Cricetulus griseus: one gene and its partners. The protein of the gene in region 2 interacts with the protein of the main gene of each other region in a pairwise test. Links are inferred from orthologs where the notes say so. Each region holds a gene or a part of one and is shown on either strand. Other genes may lie near its edges.

Region 1 (6,398 bases), on a different chromosome or scaffold from region 2:
TGGTTGAGATTGCCCAGAGGCAGACTCGTACTGAGGGCAGGGCTTTGACAGATGGGTGGATTTGGTCAGCCTTGATCAAGGAGAGGCTATCCTAGCAAGAGAAGAGCATGTCTGAGCCCCACCCGACCATGCGATTTTTTTCTCCTCTTTCCCGGCTGAGATGAGTGGGAGTTCTTTGAGGGGAATTTCACTCCCCTCTGTAGCTGTCACGGGGCCTCTGCTATGTGACCTTACACACAGTAGTGACTCAGCTGTTCAGGGACCTGGTATATAATTAGGACGTGCAGGACCTCAGAGGCGGGAGTGAAGATGCGCTGTGTGCTGATGTCATTAGGACTGCGCTCGGCTGGCCATGGTGGTGCTCACCTTTGATCCCAGTCCTCAAGAGGTAGAGATCTCTATGTATTCCAAGCCAACCTGGTCTATACAGAGAGTTCTAGGCTAGCCAGGGCTGCATAGTGCATAGTGCAAACTGAAAACCCGTCTTAAAAAAAAAAAAAGGAAGAAAGAAAGAAAGAGTGGGACTGGATCTTGAGGGGAGTAGAGACACTGGGTGGGGAGGAGCTGATGGCTCAGTCAATGAGGAGTTTACCTCTCAAGCATGAGGACCCAGGTTCAATCTCCAGCACCCATGTAAAAATGCTGGATGCAGTAGAGGGCATTTGCAGCCCCTGCCCTGGGGAAGCAGAGACTGGAGGAAGCCCTGGAGCTTGCTGGCCAGCCAGTTTAGCCTAAGGAGCTTGGGCCAGTTAGAGACCCTGTATCTGAGGAGGGGGATTGTGTTCCTGAGGATGACACCTGAGGTTGTCTTCTGACCTACACACACACACACACACACACACACACACACACACACACACACACACACAAATTAAAAAGAGGGGCTGTGCTCAAGAAAGAATGACACTTTAGGGTATTTCATTTAGATACCTCTGTCAAAAAAGTTACTGGTTATCCCAGAAGGAGCCATTTTAAATACCATAAATACTCCAGCATCTAAGGTATCCTCATTGTCTCCATCTCTTCCTCAAGTTGTTGTATCTGCTAGTCAAAATCCTGCCTCTGTCTTCCCTGCTTTTCGATCATCTGGTTCAGAGAAACCTGACAAAGCTGCATCTTGAATTTAGACTAAATGAGCCAGTTTTTAAATAACGGGGCATTGTTTTAACTCCCATAAAAATTTTAACTGTTTATTATACTGTTGAAAACATACTGTTCATACTGTGTGTCTGTGTGTGTGTCTGTGTCTGTGTGTGTGTGGTGTGTTGGGGTGTGTGTGTGTGTGTAGGTGTATGTGTATCTTCATTAGCTTGCACAAGACTTTGTTTTCTTGGGGAGGGCAAAATATACCATTTCACTCATTGGTGTGAAGATGTTTTCCAAGATTCTTTGTTTAAAATATGTCATCAAAATTTACCTGTCTATATAACATAAATTTAACAAAGTCAAGTTTGACTAGTTTAAGTAAGCTAGCCTTTTCATAATTATATTGATGTTTCTTCTTAAATCTGGACTGTTGTGGTGTATCTACAGTATAGTATTCTGTGTCATTGGTGACATTTTATTTTTGTTTCTGTAATGCATTAAGAAAATGCAGTCCATGGTGTAAAATTGTACATATTCCTTAAATCCCTAATAATCTGTACTAAATATATGTACAAAGAACAAAAAAAAAAAAAGAATGACACTTTAGTAAAGGGATATTTGCATAGGGGTGATGATTGGGGGTGAGCTTTCTGACTGGGGTCTGGGGAGCTGACTCAACATGGATTCTGCCTACTCCTCAGTTCTCCTGTAGAGTCTGTCCTGTTCTATGCCATTACCACGCTGCACAACCTGCTGCTGTACCAGGAGGGCGCCAAGATGGCGGTGCGCCTGGCAGATGGGCTGCAGAAGATGGTACCCCTACTCAACAAGAACAACCCTAAATTCCTGGCCATCACCACTGACTGCCTGCAGCTCCTGGCCTATGGCAACCAGGAGAGCAAGGTGGGTCCCTTCACCATGGCTACAGTATCCAGTGGCTTCAGGCCACTTCCCGGAAGGCATACTAATGTGTATATAGATGAATGTGTCTCATATCCTGTTTCTGAATTCCTCAGAACTAATATTTTAAGGTTTGAGAAAAAATTAGGGCTAGGGATATAACTCAGTGATAGAATACTGCCTAGCATGCTGAATGATTCAATCCCTAGAATTGAAAAAGGCTGGGGGATTGGGGTGGAGAGATGGCTTGCAGTACCCATGGCGGCCAGAAGAGGGTGCTGCATTCCTAGAGCTGGCATTACAGATCGTTTTAAGTCGCCATGCGAATGCTGGGAATCAAACCTAGACTCTCTGGAAAAGCAGCGAGTGCTGCTAACAGCTGAGCCATCTCTCCAGCCCTCTCTGTGTGTTTTACACAGGGTCTCACTATCTATCCCAGGGTGACCTGGAACCCTAACTCTCCTTGTAGTCTTCTAACTGCTGGATTAGAGGTGTGGAACACCAGAGCCAGCAGGGCTAAAGGCCTTTTTCTTTTTATTTATTTGTTTCTAAACACTTCTAGACTTTTACTCAGTGTGTTTGTTCTCTTTCCAAAAGGGTTACATCGTGTTACCCATTACACTGCCTTTAGTGACAATGCTGTGCTAGACTCCCTTTGCTAGATCCTTGCCAGCATTTGGTATTAATAGTTTTTTTCCCCAAGATATTGGCTTATTTGATAGTCACCAAAGTCTTAAAAGGTTAATAATGAGAGCTCCATCACCCCCTCACACACGTGAACACATAGGTGTGTGAGCCTGTTATCCTACACTCTGCCTTTCCCTCCCCACAGCTGATCATCCTGGCCAATGGGGGACCTCAGGGGCTTGTGCAGATCATGAGGAACTACAGCTATGAGAAACTGCTCTGGACCACCAGCCGTGTGCTCAAGGTGCTCTCTGTGTGTCCCAGCAATAAGCCCGCCATTGTGGAGGCTGGTGAGTGAGAACCTCAAGGTGGCCTGTTGGGGACTAGAGAGGTGACCATAGCTTAAGAGCTCTTGCTACTTTTCCAGAGGACCTCAGTTTGGTTCCCAGTAACCACATTCGGTGACTCACAACTACCTGTAGCTCAAATTCAAGGGATCTGATGCCCTCTTCTGGCCTCCATGGGCATTGCACATCACATTACACAGACACACAGACACACAGACACACAGACACACACACGAATAATAATAATAATAATAATAATAATAATAATAATAACCCTTTAAAAGTAAAATTATAGAGGAGTGACCTGTGGGGTCAGGAGGATTGGGGTAGGGCCCCTGCCCTGGCAGCAATCTGGCCCCCCTAAGGCTGACAGGACCTCTGTCCCATCCCCAGGTGGGATGCAGGCTCTGGGCAAGCATCTCACAAGCAACAGCCCGCGCCTGGTGCAGAACTGCCTGTGGACTCTACGCAACCTCTCAGATGTGGCTACCAAGCAGGTAAGTCTGGGCCCGGGCCATTCTCTGAAACCATATTGTCAGCCTACCACCTGGGCATATGACCTCGGGGACCTATGAGAAGAGGAAGGAGGCTGACATCTTTAAGTTGGGGTTCAGGTGATGGTGATGGGACAATTTGAGCCTTGACCCTGGGACAGGAGCAGTACTGTTCCATAAAACTCAAGTACAGGGGCTCAGTGGTTAAGAGCATTTGTCTGTATCTCTAGTTCCAGGGCATCTGATGTCCTCTTATAGCTTTTGAGAGCGCTAGGCATACACACATGGTGCACAGATATACAGGCAGTCAAAACACTAACCTCACAAAATACTAACACACACAAAACACTAACCTCAGAGCACTGCTGATTCAGGGCAAGTTGCTGGCACCACCTTCCAAGCAGACTGTATCCATGTGTTTACCCATCACCACCACCTAGCAAGCACCCTTCATTCTGCATGGCTTCTGTAGGCAGGAGCTGAACTGACTTTAACCCTCTTAGCTCCCTAGAAGGGGATCCTGCAACCCCATTGGTTGTGGGAGAAACTAAGGCTCAGGGAGTTAAGAGAAAGCCCATGTTGAGAGCTATTAGATGGCAGAGCTTGCGTCCTGACCCATGACTGTGTGTATCTCTGAGACCGATAGTCTTTTGGATCCACCACTAGACCCACACAGCCCTCCCTGGGAGAAGAGAGGTTTCTGAGTTGGGGATTTTTCTCAGAAGCAGATTTAGCTTAGGGATCCCTGGTGTGACAGAGAAGACCCAGCCAGGTGAGAAGTATGCGACAGGGGACCAGCTGACCACTGAAGCCTATGACCTCCTTGCTAGCTTCCTCTTGACCAGAGGCCTCCTATGGCCAGCAGGGATGGAGCACATGGGATAGAGGAAGGACCATGGGCTTGGAGGCAGGCCTGCAGCTGTGGGTCTGTGGGAAGATCTCCAGGAGAGGCTAACAGCTTTCCCCAGGGCGTGGAAGGCCATGGGGTGAAGGTTCCTGGCCACATAAAAGCAAGACCAAGCCCTTCAGCCTATCCGCTGCCCTCAGACCTACTGGGGAGGCTGTGTAGAGATGACGTGTTCCTTACGCTTCATGCTCTTCCTGTCTCAGGAGGGCCTGGAGAGCGTGCTGAAGATCCTGGTCAACCAGCTGAGTGTGGACGATGTCAACGTCCTCACCTGTGCCACAGGCACCCTCTCCAACCTGACCTGCAACAACAGCAAAAACAAGACGCTGGTGACACAGAACAGTGGCGTCGAGGCACTCATCCACGCCATCCTGAGAGCCGGTGACAAGGATGACATCACAGAGCCTGCTGTCTGTGCCCTGCGTCACCTTACCAGCCGCCACCCGGAGGCTGAGATGGCCCAGAACTCTGTGCGCCTCAACTATGGCATCCCGGCCATTGTGAAGCTGCTCAACCAGCCCAACCAGTGGCCACTGGTCAAGGTACCCACTAAGGGCCAGGACACAGGAGACCTAGCGCACTGGCTCAGAGAACAGGAAGGAAATACCACTCCCAGCACTTTCTACTTTCACAATGTCTGCTCCAGAGACCTAGAGTTCTTTTGCTTACCTGGTTGTTGCTCTATTTGTTTTATTCTTAATTTTTAAAATTTTGTATTAGAAGACTGGAGAGATGGCTCAGTGGTTACTCTTCCAGAGGTCCTGAGTTCAATTCCCAGCAGCCACAGGGTGATTCACAACCATCTGTAAAAAACAAGGGAACAACACCCTGTAGGTCACACACATGTATTAACACATTTTTTAAAGTAAAAATATTTATTAGAGTTACTAATTTTATTTATTTTGAGACACCATCTCTCTATGTAGCCCTGGCTGTCCTGGAACTCACTCTGTAGGCCAGGCTGGCCTCAAACTCAATTCTCCTGCCTCTGCCTCCCAAGTGCTGGGGTTAAAGGCCATCCATCAGGCTTGGCTCTGGCTGGTTTTTGAGACAAGGTCTGTGGGATGTAGCCTAGGCTGGCCTTAGACTTGCGATTCTCCTGCTCAGGCTCCTGACTGCTGAGAATACCATAGGCATGCCCCACTTCCCTTCAGTGAGCTAGATGCAATTAGTTTAAAGATTAGAGTCTCAAGTATCCCAGGCTGGCCTTAAATTGTAGCTGAGGGTCGCCTTGGTCCTCCTGCCTCAGCCTCACTCAAGTGCTGGAATGAGAGCCATGTGCCACCACATCTGGTCTGTGTAGTCCTGGGACTCAAACCCAGGGCTCGTGCGTCCTGAGCGAAAGCCCCGACCTTAGGTCTAGGTTCTTTCTGTCCTCTGCCTACAGCCGCCCCAGCTCCCTCCCCCAAGCAGAGCTTCTCAAAGTTCCAGCTACATGAGTAGCTAGGACTCTCCTTATCCTGTTGTCACTGCGCTGGGACTGGGTTTTCAGAAGAGATAGTATTGACAAAATACCTGAAGCTGAGGAGTTGGAATACCTTTGCTCACTGCCTCCTTCCCTGCCAGGCAACCATCGGTCTGATCCGGAATCTGGCCCTGTGCCCAGCCAACCATGCCCCGCTGCAGGAGGCCGCAGTCATTCCCCGCCTCGTTCAGCTGTTGGTCAAGGCCCACCAGGATGCCCAGCGACATGTGGCCGCAGGCACCCAGCAGCCCTACACGGTAGATGAGCCTAGTGGCGACTGAGATAGCCTTCTTGGAGGGGCTGGGGCGGGGGTGTCCTCAGAGTTTGTGTGTATATAAGAAGAAGTGTGTGTGTTGACATCAACGCCAACTCCAGGGACTAGTGAGCAGTGTTAGGGTCCTGGTCGGGGAGGTTGCGGCTTTGTCCAGGGCCCCCTTGTCCCCATCCTCGTGTTTCACGGCCCTTTTCATGCAGGATGGCGTGAGGATGGAAGAGATCGTAGAGGGCTGCACTGGAGCCCTCCACATCCTCGCCCGGGATCCCATGAACCGTATGGAGATCTTCCGGCTCAA
Region 2 (5,639 bases):
ACTGTTGCACCAGTGGGCACATCTTCCCAGGCAGTCATTCTCATTGCTCACTAGGTTCATGGCTAGGTGAGATTACTGATTACACTTTTTTAACCTCTGGTACTGTTCATTGCACTTCCTAGCATTGTGAAAGCTAACCATGTGGGATGAAGCTTCCAGGTTAGTACCAGCTTGATGTTTCCTGGTCTTTGACCCAGTATATCATGCCTTCAGCAAATGAGTCTTATCACCAAGTTCTGGAAGGTAACCAAATGCATTGGTAAAAGCTTGTGATGTTTGGGAGGTGGATAAGTATCTCACTGTCCAACATTTTTTTTAAAGTAACCCTGCCACTAGGCTTTTAATGAAAACAATTATAAAATAGAGGATTTGATTTTGTAATCTATTGGTAGTTTTAAAATGACTACTGCCATTCTATTTAAAAATTAATAGTTTTGCAAGGCTTTGTGCAGATGCAGAAGCTGCCTAATGTCCTCCAAGATCAGAGGTGCTCATGGGCCAGTCACATTAGCCAAGCAGTTAGTTTCAGGTTCAATGAGAAACCCTGCCTCAGAGCATAAGGTAGGGAATGATAGAGGAAGATGATGGCAACCAGTGTCTACACATGCATGCATGGGCACACACGCACACAAACTTCACACACACACACACACACACACACACACACACACACACACACACACACACACAGTCCTCCCCTAAAAACCTTTTGAGTACTTAAAAATACTGTTTAGTGTTTGTCATTTTTGCCCAGTACACAGGTTTCACTGTCCTGGCTTTAATAAGTAAAATATATATGTAAAAATATATACGTGCAAAATATATGTGTGTGTGTATGTGTAGCTGCCAAATCTTGCTGTCCTTAAAAAATCATGTATTTTTGGTGTTACCATTCCAAGGATCTTGGGCTTGGCAATTATGGAACTAATTAAATTTTCTTGTGAGGAAAGCAGCCAGCTAGACCACAGCCCCGGGCACATAACCCGAGCTCCCCACTCTGCCTCACTTATTCTGTATGAGAGCTGAAGCTGGTAGAGCAGAGGAGGTAGAACACGCAGGCCAGCAGCTGCTGACAGATTTCAGGAACTACACAGAGTCAGCGTTTGAGCCCCAGCCCTGACAGCTCCTATCACAGAGGGGTGACAGTGGAGGCTCATCTCCCCATGTGAGTTGGCTGCAGATGACAATCTGCCAAGCTAAAATAATTGAAAAAGCATCGGTTGTATAAAAATGAATCGACTTGGCTTAGCTCTAAGGTATTTTGAAAAACTCTAGGAATGCCACTCTATTTTTTTTTTCCTTGAGATTGTTTACATGAATAGCATCCTGGACATTTAACAAACAGATTCATCTGTGGAAAAGGTATTTTTAGCCATTTTATGAGCACATCTGTGTCATTTAGCAATTTAGCAGTCTTTATAGGTTGCAAAGGTAATGGTACTTAATTACAACAATTTTTTGGCAGCTAATGTACTGGTTTCTTATATGTATTACTTTTTCTTTAATAAATATTTTTCTGCATTAAATGATTTGATGGAAATAATTAAACCTTCTCAAGGTTGTCAAAGGGGAATCTGAACCTCCAATTCAATTTTATTTGAACTCTCCATTCTTTCTATATTAGCAGTCTCTATGATGCATTAACATTTACTTCTTAAAACAGAGACCCATTTAAGTGTGATTATTTAAGAAATTCTCAAGAAAAAGATGATGTATATGTATATCTGCATTGTGTGTATGTGTATGTGTATGTGTGTGTATATGTAGCTTTCTTGCAAACAATGAGAAAGAAACTTATCCTTCTACAATACCAAATTAAAAACAAAACATGGATGTATTTATGCATCAGATCAACCTTTAAAAAGAATACGATGGAATGATGTAGATGATTATGTATTGATATGTAAAATAAGAATTAGCTCGTTCATTTCTTGGTCAAAGTACAGTGTCACTGTCATCTTCTACATCCTCAGCACATTCCTGACTGCATTTTAAATAGTAGCTTTTCTCTTCATTCTTTCCTACAGTTGGACAGTGTCACCTCCCTGATCCAAGCAGCCAAAAATTTAATGAATGCTGTAGTGCAAACAGTGAAAATGTCGTACATTGCTTCCACCAAGATCATCCGCATCCAGAGTTCTGCCGGCCCCCGGCACCCTGTTGTCATGTGGAGGATGAAGGCTCCTGCAAAAAAGCCCTTGATTAAGAGAGAGAAGCCAGAAGAAACATATGCGGCTGTCAGAAGAGGCTCAGCAAAGAAAAAGATCCACCCTGTCCAAGTCATGAGTGAATTTAGAGGGAGACAAGTCTACTGAGGCCCTAGTCCACTCCAGTGCCCATTGACATACCTCGGGCCAAGCACATTGCATTTATTTCACAGCTCACTGGCTCTTTAATTTCGCTAAGTTTCGGAGTTAAGTTCTCAAATAACATAAAACGTTGGGGTTAAACCACTGTGCACAATGTGTATTTGGGGTCCTGTCATTGTCATCTCTCTATCGCCAGCACAACCCAGTTAACTTGCAGGTAGTACCTAGGGAATAAACTTCACAGGTGTCATTTTGGCCTGGCCCTTCACAGGGAATAGCTTATGTCCATTACAAAATGAATGCAAAAGACAAAGTGAGTTCTGCTTCCTTGGAAATGTTTAAGCCTATGCACTATGTATCCTTGTGAAGGATGACACACTCAGAAGCTTTTCACTTGCTTTTCAGTGGACACAAGAGGGTTTAGCAACTATTTTCCCAGTGTCTGTACCTTCCTTAGCAGACCTAACCTGGCATCTAATCTGCCAGACATGTGTCCTTCTTGCCATAGGAAAGAATGTTCAATTTCTAGATATTGCTACCTACTATTAGTTGGTGAGTTGACTATAACCAAATGTGGGGAGTCAAACTTCTTACCAGAATTTGAAAGTCAGTCATGTTATTAAAGAAGTGCTTTGATGACACTCTGAGGCTGCAGAGACTGTGGATGCTGTTTGCACCTTTTTTTTTCCTACTATTTAGAAGTTCTGTACTCTTAGCATTGGGCCTGTCAGAACACACATGTCTAGAGTCATCACCCATTGGAGAAATGAATTTTTGTTTCTTGATTGGTTTGTGTGGTACTGTGATTCAAACAACATTACATACGCTAGGAATGTGGTCTACTCCTGAGTTCCACATCCAGCCCTTCAGAGAAATGAGACACACTGACTTATAGTTCAGAGCAAGTCTGAGATAGAGGAAACAAAAGGAATTTTGCGTGATTATAAAAATCTCTTTGTATCCATTGCAATGGTAACTAAAATGAAAGACTGATTTGCAAAGCCTTTGGCACGGAGTGAAATCTACCACCCAACAATGAAGCTGAATTAATGACAATGAGTTTGGAGTGATTTTTAATAACCACCTCTAAACGAATGTCACTGGGGTTGTTTTCTATGTCCAATGACTGTGGTTATCTACAGCTGAGTTTATGATGGACTCTGTAGTAGTCTGAGAGTATGCTCTATGGCAATGATAGCCCTTTGTTTTTCCATCATTTCCTCCTCTCTTTCTTCACACTGAGCTTTATATTTACGGTGTTGGAGGAGTGAGGCTTCAATTTTACCATGCCACACTCAAAGGGCTTTTTCTCCACTTATTCCCCTTTTCTGTGTCAGAACCCTTCCATAACTGAAGCTCTTCCCTTTTGCAACACTGCCCTTGAAGAGGCATTTGGACACTTTCAATTCATCAGTTAGTATTTCTATATGTAACAGAAGTTGGTGTTAGGGGGGCCACTTGTACAGGAAGCAAAAGGGATTGAACGTACTGGGAATTCATTGTGTATTCTCTTGAACAAAAAAGAAAAGAAAGGTCTGGCAGATGATTGTGTTATTGAGGCGAATATTAACTCTTTTAGTAATTGAATTATTTCATTATACCAAAGTGTTGGCTTGGTTGCCTGAGAACTCTACAAAATTTAGTATGAACTAGGTGAAGTCCATTCATTTCTTCCCTCATCTTGCCCTAAGGGCTTGTGCATAGTAATTATTCTGGACAAAATCTACTCTCATGATGAGAAGCAGAGAAGGGAATTTGGTCTTCTTGACAATATTGGCACAATTGGGACAAATACCCTCTGTTACTGAAATGCAGCCATAGTGTTCTGTACTCAGTGGAGAGCAATTTTAGAATAGACTCCTCTTCGGTACCATGCAGATTTTTAATTTTGGGAACAACCAATTTCTTAAAAATACACAAACAAAAAATACCACATACTAACTTTATATACTAGGTCTTGACCTTACATAGGCCAGACTCATACACCTTCTTTGCAAAACCCACTGTTCCTTTGGCCCCATGTCATCCTTCTACATATTGGAATTTAGCATGATCTATTAGAGGAAAGCAATAATAAAAGAAATAATTTTAAATGATGCAAATTCCAGATAATTTTACTCGAAATGAGAAACAGTCGAGGCCTTCACTTTGGTACAGTGTTCCAGCTCAGCTCAAAATAAACAGCTATAATTAAACAAAACAATAAAATTTTTAACTTGGTGAGTGCCCAGGGAGTACATTTTCTCTAGCAATTAAAGGTGTAATAAAAACCAAAGGGATAAAGCTGAGAAGGACATCTGTCTACCTGAGAAACACCTGCAGTGACAGTATATTAGTTGGATTCAAGCAATGGGTGATGCAAACATCTACAGAAAAAACAGGAAGAGGGGTACTTGCAAATTTTACACTATAGAGTACAATTAGATAAGTCTGGACAATAAATATTCTATATACATATTTATATGGCAACATTTTTTCTGCAGTGGAATGCTGGGAAATTTTAATGGAAGTAATAACTTGATAACGCAGTATACACATTTTCAAATAGCATCACATTTGTTTGATTTTGCTAGTCAATACTCACTTGTCCTTTCTACCAAATTAATTTCAGTTCACTTACTTACTTTTTTAGAAAAATGTACTTGAAAAGAAGTTTTATACTATCCCCAAGGACATCTCCATCTCTTCCTCGCCACCTATATTGCCACCAAGTGTGATGTTAAATTCAAAGTAGTCTAGATTCAGGATAACTCAGAAAATACTCATGATGATATCAAATATAAAAGTTGATAAATATACATTCCATCTTTACTAAATAAAATTGTTAAGTTATAGTTCTTTCTTTTAAAGTTTCTAGAAATTTTTGAGTAAATCAGGAAAATATATTTCAAGCTGATGTCAATCATGCTTTTCTGTTTCTCTTATGATTTGAGTCTGACCTCTGAATATGCTAGAAGATACATTATAGTCTTATATTCTCATGTGCCATCTGAGATTGTGAAGTCTTTTAGCATCAGTATAACACATTTGCTTCTCATGAAGTCTCTTCCTCCCACAGTATAAGGAACCTGCAACTGAACACAGAGGCCTATTCTTGTAACCTTCCACTGCAGACTAATCTCTTTTCAATTCATTATAAGTGAAAAAACTAAAAGTGTGAATATGTAATTAAGTTCCCATTAGGGCATTCATGTCTCTTAACAATAATGCTTCCCAGATTCTATAGCAAGTTGTTGAAAAGACTAAGTTTGACAATGATACTGGGTTCTTCAGTCTTCACTTTGGGGACTGGGGAGATGGTTCAGGCAGTAAGTAAGTACTTGCTATGCC
Region 3 (6,398 bases), on a different chromosome or scaffold from region 2:
CTCCGCCTGCCTGCCCTGACTCATATGTTGGGAACGGGCCTCCCACCCCAGGCCTGGGGGGCAGAAGCTGGGGAGAGGTGCCAGAGAGGGCCAGGCAACCCTTCTGAAGCCTCTGTAGAGGTAGAGGCTGAGTGAGTTTCTAGGTTTGCAGGTCACTGGGTGGACATTTATCTACCTCACTGGGCAGTCTTATTGAGTTGTAGGGCCCAGGTTTAGATCCTTCATGGGGCTGCTTTTGACTTTAAAAAATTCCAGCACTCTAGTTCTTTATCCTTTACCAGGACTCTATAAACACAAAACTGTCTCTGGATGCTAACCCTGCCTGGACTTCGCCAAGCCCTGGGCCCAGATGTCTTGGAGGCTGCCTGGTTTTTGATGCTCTAGAGCGCCCAACCCCCAGACTGGGACACCCCTTCTCATATGGCTTGGAGTGACAGGCCTCCACAGGCTCCCTGTCCTACTCTCAAACTTAGATCGCTGGCTCCCACGGGGCTTGGTCTGGGCTTGGAAGGCGGAGAGCAAGTAGAACCCAAGTCCCTGTGGCCCTGTTCTCGGATAGGAGGAAAGAGAAGGCCGGGCCATGACTTGAGGACGCGCTGGGCCTGTTCTTCCGCCCAAATTCCACCTTAAGCAGGCAGAGGCCCCTCCCTCCCACCTGGCCCAGGTATCCCCGCCCCCAGCCAAGCTCTGGGCTGGGCGGGCGTCTGTCTAAGAAGGCCAGCCAGGAAGAGACTTCTGGAACTGAGCCTTGAGGGACAAGACTGGGAAGAGGCCCAGGACAGGTGGGGTGGATAGTCGCCCCTGTCACTATGCAGGAGGGTAACTTCCTGCTGTCTGCCCTGCAGCCTGAGACTGGTGTTTGCTCCCTGGCACTGCCCTCGGACCTGCAGCTGGATCGCCGGGGTGCTGAGGGGCCGGAGGCTGATAGGCTTCGAGCTGCCAGAGTCCAGGAGCAAGTCCGAGCCCGCCTCCTGCAGTTAGGCCAGCAGTCGCGGCACAATGGGTCTACCGAGCTTGATGGCGCCACCGAGATCACCAGAGGTACGCCAGCTTGGGCATGGTGGGCAACAAAGGGTAATGTAGGTGGTAGTGGTGACAGTGGCAGGTAGAGGTGGCTAGGGCAGTAGTGTTGGTGTCAGGGGCAGAGGCCGTACGAGCTCGGGGTTCAGGCCTTGACTCACCTCACTGAGGCCTGCTCTGAGTCACCGCCCCGCCCCAGTAGGCATGGGGAACAGCCTGGGTGGGGCATACCTCCTCCCCAGCCAAGACAGGGGTCTAAGGCTGGGTGCCCCACTCTCTAAGTTGGGAAAACCCGGGAGGCTCAAGGAGAACAACCAGGCCCACCTATTGGCAACCCCCAATACATTCCCTCATCACCACAGGCTCGCTTGAGGTCCCAGACAGAGAGGCCAGAGTGCCTTCTAACCAGATGGGAGTGAGTTTAACAGTTGTATGAGAGAGCGATGATCCTAGATAGAGCCCAGGTCTGTCTGGAGCAGGGGCTCCCTGAGGAATTACAGAACTGGGCCTACCAGGAGTGACCCAGATACTCTTCATGAGAATAGCCTGCAGGGTACTCTTCAGGGGCGTCTCTCTCTCTCTCTCTCTCTCTCTCTCTCTCTCTCTCTCTCTCTCTCTCTCTGTGTGTGTGTGTGTGTGTGTGTGTGTGTGTGTGTGTTAGAGGGGTCACTCAGATGTGCTGGGTTCAAGGTAGTCATTCCATAAACATCATTTCCCTACCTGCCAGGCTACAACAACAGGCATTAAATTCAGACAGTACAATAGACCTCTGTTCAGAGGTCTAGACCCCAGTTCACAGTGGTCCACCTCTGGCCTCTAGCTACTAGCCAGAGGGAGAGGGCTGTCTGGCAGAAGGGCTGGTCAGGAATTGGATTGCTGCCTGAAATCTTCCTGAGCATAAGCCTTACTGGAGCCAAGTTGATGCCCAGGGGTCATGGGGTGGGGGAGGACAGAGGGAGGGGTTAATTACCACCTGGATACCCTGCCAATTAGGGGGAGGAGGATAGTAATTTGGGGGTGGGCGTAAGGTCCCCAGGCTGGGGTGTGCCCCCTAGGCTGGCCCTCACTAGCGTCAAAGGGTTAACAGCCCCTGCCCAGAAGCCTCATTAACCTGGGTGGATCTGGGGAACACCAGACTGTCCACCCCCTGGGCAGGGTTGGGAGGAGTGAAGGCCCCTTCCCCATACCCATACTGACCTCTGTAGTAGTAGTAGCCCTTGCTCAGGGAGCCCTTCCTAAAACCCTTGGCAGAGGCTGAGTCCACCCGAGCCCTGCCCACTATATTACCATCCACTCTTGGGATGATGTTTCCTGGGTGGTCTCACCTCTGCACCCACTATCTCTCTGTTCATCTGGCTGCGAGTTTTTCTGTACACCTATGTGACCCTCTCACCTCCCTCTTTCCCACCAATCCCTTCATCTACATATCATTCCAAGCTTCTGACCAGTCCTCCCCACCCACTCACCCACCTTTCTGTCCACTGACCACGGAGCTGGGCTGACTCCCTGTCCGCAGCTAATATGCAGCTGGATGGGTAGGTGTGGTCCCTGCCTCAGGCTCTACCAGGTGGCTCTCCCACTGTCCATTAGAGCAGATGGATCCAGAGAGACTACATCCTTGGCCTACACAATGTCACTACCCTGTGACTGTAGTACAGATGGAGTCTGGGCACAAGAGGATTTCAAAGGAGGTCATTGTGGGTTGGGGCAGGCTGGGCTGGCTTTCTGGGGGGAGCCAGATGCTGTACTCTGGCGGGGACTGGACAGCTTATGGAGAACCTTGGCGAATTCTCCAGGCAGGCCAGAGGTCAGTAAGATGAGTAGTCTGGATTCCTTGGAGCAGAGAAGGAACTTTGGAGTTCTAGGGAAAGGGGGCCTACCAGAACAGATTGAATGAAACCAAGCCGCAGCCACAGTAGAACCATGGGCAAGGCATTAGCCCCAAAGCCCACTTGGCCTCCCTGCTCTGGGTCTGATGTGACTCTCAGGGTTACGATCAGAGACCTCTGGCAGAAGGGAGAAGAAAAGCCAACACTTTGCTATTTGTCATGGTCAGGCTGTCACTATCCCTGTCCACAGGCATGCCGAGGGGTCAATACCACACTATGCAGGCTGGCTTCAGCTCCCGATCCCAGGGCCTGAGTGGAGACAAGACCTCGGTGAGTCAGGGATTTAGCTCTGCAGTCCACACTGAGTGGGAGGCTCCACAGGGGAAGCTGGGAGCTCTGTATCAGAAGGGGAGGACACCGGGTAAACCCCAGATACCCCTTCACTGTGCCCTCCCCTCCCATAGACCATCCGGCCCATCGCCAAGCCGGCCTACAGCCCAGCCTCCTGGTCCTCCCGCTCAGCCGTGGACCTGAGCTGCAGTCGGAGGTTGAGCTCTGCCCACAATGGGGGCAGTGCCTTTGGGGCTGTGGGATATGGGAGTGCCCAGCCCACTCCACCCATGCCCACCCGCCCAGTGTCCTTCCACGAGCGAGGTGGAGGAGCCAGCAGAGCCGATTATGACACGTTGTCCCTGCGCTCGCTGAGGCTGGGGCCTGGGGGCCTGGACGATCGCTACAGTGTGGTATCTGAGCAACTGGAGCCTGCAGCTGCCTCCACCTACAGGGCCTATGCTTATGAGCGCCAGGCCAGCTCTGGCTCTAGCAGGGCAGGAGGCCTGGACTGGCCAGAGGCAACCGAGGGCCAACCCAGCCGGACCATCCGTGCACCCGCCATGCGAACCCTGCAGAGATTTCAGAGCAGCCACCGAAGCCGTGGAGTCACTGGGTCAGTGTCAGGTACCGGCCTGGAACCCGTGGCCCGAGCCCCATCTGTGCGCAGTCTCAGTCTCAGCCTGGCTGACTCAGGTCACCTGCCAGATGTACGTGGATTGGACAGCTACACAGGCCATCGCACCCTGCAGAGGCTCAGCAGTGGGTAAGGAGCTGGGCTTGAAGCAGGGAGGGGACAGCCTGGCCCAATCCTAAGGTCTACCTGAACACTGACTAAGTCCTGGTTCTGCAGCTTTGATGACATTGACCTGCCCTCAGCAGTCAAGTACCTCATGGCCTCAGACCCCAACCTGCAGGTGCTAGGAGCGGCTTATATCCAGCACAGGTGCTACAGTGATGCAGCAGCCAAGAAGCAGGTGACATATTCCACTGACTGTCCCCTGTTATCTCTCGGTGACTGTCCCACCGTCCCCAGATGCCCTTAATGACTGTCTTCACCAGCCCCCACCCCTTCTGACCTCTGCTCCTTGGCCCTCCCTGCTGATCACTAGGCTGGCTGAGCAAACCTCACCACTCCATATCCTCAACGGAGAACGGGCAGAGATGCCCTGTTTGTACATACCTGCATCACCTATATACACCTACACACATATACATGGCGCCTGTGGCACATATATGCATCCGAGACATATACTTGGATTACCTCCATATACCCGAATATGCATGCGCAGTCCTGCATACACCTGTAGCATCCAGAGTCACCATTTCCAGGCACCTGCACCCCCCCCAATACATTTGCATACGTTATGTACAGACTTGCATATCACCTGCACCATCTGGGTCACCTACGGACATATGCACTTATTTCCATGCATGTGGACATTTCTGCCTGCATTTTCAGTCTGCATATGTCCACATACACCTGTATATATGTGCCACAGGCTCGCAGCCTTCAGGCGGTGCCTAGACTGGTGAAGCTCTTTAACCACGCCAACCAAGAGGTGCAGCGCCATGCCACAGGTGCCATGCGCAACCTTATTTACGACAATGCAGACAACAAGCTGGCTCTGGTAGAAGAGAATGGCATTTTCGAACTGTTGCGGACACTTCGAGAGCAGGATGATGAGCTACGCAAAAACGTTACAGGTACCCTTGTCCCTCCAGCTTCATCATCAGTCCCCTCCTCTGCGCTCTCCTGTCTTGTCCCTGCTCTTCTCTTCCTCTACTCCCCTCTTTCCCTTCCTTGTTCTCAACAATCTGTCTTCATCTTATGCCTTCCCTGTCCCATATTGAATTTTTTGGGGGGTTGGGTTTTTTTGTTGTTTATCTTATTTATTACTATTTTGTGTACACCCATGCATGCCCCAGGCATCCGTGTGAAGGTCAGAGGACAACTCCTTCAACCATGGGATCTGGGGAGTCAAACTCAAGTAATTGGGCTTGTGCAGAAAGCACCTTTACCTGCTGAGCCTTTTTGCCAGCCCATTTTTTAATTTATTTTTACTGAGACAGGAACTCACTATGTAGCCTTGGCTGTCTTGAAACTCATTATGTAGACCAGGCTAGTCCCAAATTCATAGAGATCTGCCTGCCTCCTGAGTGCTAGGTTTAAAGATAGGTGACATCATCATGCCTGGCCTATTTCCTTATTTTTTAATGATTTGTTTATTTTTATTATGTATATGAAGTTTTTGCCTCCATGTGTCTTCGTTTACCCTATATATGCCTGGTACCCGCACGTGTCAGGAGAGAGCATTGGATTCCCTGAAACTAGAGTCACAGTCATTAAAAACCATATAGGTAATTGGAACCAAATCTGTGTCTTCAACAAGAGCAGCAAACACTTTTATCCATTGAGCCATTTCTCCAGCCCCTGAATTGTGTGCGTGTTGGTATATATATTCAATTTATTTACTTCATTTTATGTATATGAATCTTTTGCTTGCATGAATGTCTGTATACCACATGCATGCCCAGTGCCCATGGAGGTGAGAAGAGGGCTTCAGCTCTCCTGGAACTAAAGTTACAGATGATTGTGAGACACCATGTAGTTGCTGGGAGATGAATCCAGATCCTCTGGAAGATCAGCCTGTGCTCTTAACCACTGAGCCATGTCCCCAGCCCACCCCACCCCATTTGTATTGTTCCACTCTGCACACCAAACTGGCTTCTGTCTCACTATGTATTAGACGCTGGCCATAAGCTCATGGCAATCCTTCTACCTAGGCCTTCTACCTACAAACACCTTACTGTGAAGGCTCATGCCTGTCATGAGCCATCACAATAAACTAAACTTGTTGTTGTTGGTGCTTGACGTTATTGTTGTGTATATTGTCTGTTTATGAGACAGGGTCTCACTTTGTAGTTCTGACTGACCTGGAACTCATTATGTAGATCAGGTTTGCCTCAGATCCACAGAAATCTGCTTGCCTGTGTTTCCCAAATGCTGGGATTAAAGGCATGTACCACAATGCCTGGCTATTGTTTATGAGAGACGGTCTCTCCATGTAGCCCAGGATGGACTCAAACTCACAGCCATTCTTCTATTTTAGCTTCCTAAGTTCTGGGATTGCAAGTATCACACATACAAAACTTTTTTTTTTTTTTTTTGGCTTTTACCCTTATTTTCTGTGGTGCTGTGTGTGGCACTCAGGGCTT

Evidence for each region.
Region 1: the proteins of Ctnna3 (region 2) and Jup interact in binary tests that used the Homo sapiens proteins (3 or more experiments, as listed by UniProt). The link is inferred for Cricetulus griseus from reciprocal best matches to the Homo sapiens genes CTNNA3 and JUP.
Region 3: the proteins of Ctnna3 (region 2) and Pkp3 interact in a two-hybrid assay, tested with the Homo sapiens proteins (2 studies listed by IntAct). The link is inferred for Cricetulus griseus from reciprocal best matches to the Homo sapiens genes CTNNA3 and PKP3.

Annotation. Positions count from the first base shown.
Region 1 is NC_048600.1:113,437,078-113,443,475, reverse strand, and holds part of Jup (junction plakoglobin), read left to right. Parts: intron 1-1,787; coding exon 1,788-1,989; intron 1,990-2,818; coding exon 2,819-2,963; intron 2,964-3,353; coding exon 3,354-3,457; intron 3,458-4,564; coding exon 4,565-4,903; intron 4,904-5,927; coding exon 5,928-6,083; intron 6,084-6,300; coding exon 6,301-6,398. UniProt on the Homo sapiens protein: Common junctional plaque protein. The membrane-associated plaques are architectural elements in an important strategic position to influence the arrangement and function of both the cytoskeleton and the cells within the tissue.
Region 2 is NW_023276806.1:272,080,051-272,085,689, reverse strand, and holds the end of Ctnna3 (catenin alpha-3), read left to right. Parts: intron 1-2,027; coding exon 2,028-2,315; 3' UTR 2,316-3,373; downstream 3,374-5,639. UniProt on the Homo sapiens protein: May be involved in formation of stretch-resistant cell-cell adhesion complexes.
Region 3 is NC_048596.1:60,098,887-60,105,284, reverse strand, and holds part of Pkp3 (plakophilin-3), read left to right. Parts: intron 1-19; exon of another isoform or gene 20-664; intron 665-845; coding exon 846-1,041; intron 1,042-3,099; coding exon 3,100-3,179; intron 3,180-3,313; coding exon 3,314-3,945; intron 3,946-4,032; coding exon 4,033-4,156; intron 4,157-4,681; coding exon 4,682-4,886; intron 4,887-6,398. UniProt on the Homo sapiens protein: A component of desmosome cell-cell junctions which are required for positive regulation of cellular adhesion. Required for the localization of DSG2, DSP and PKP2 to mature desmosome junctions.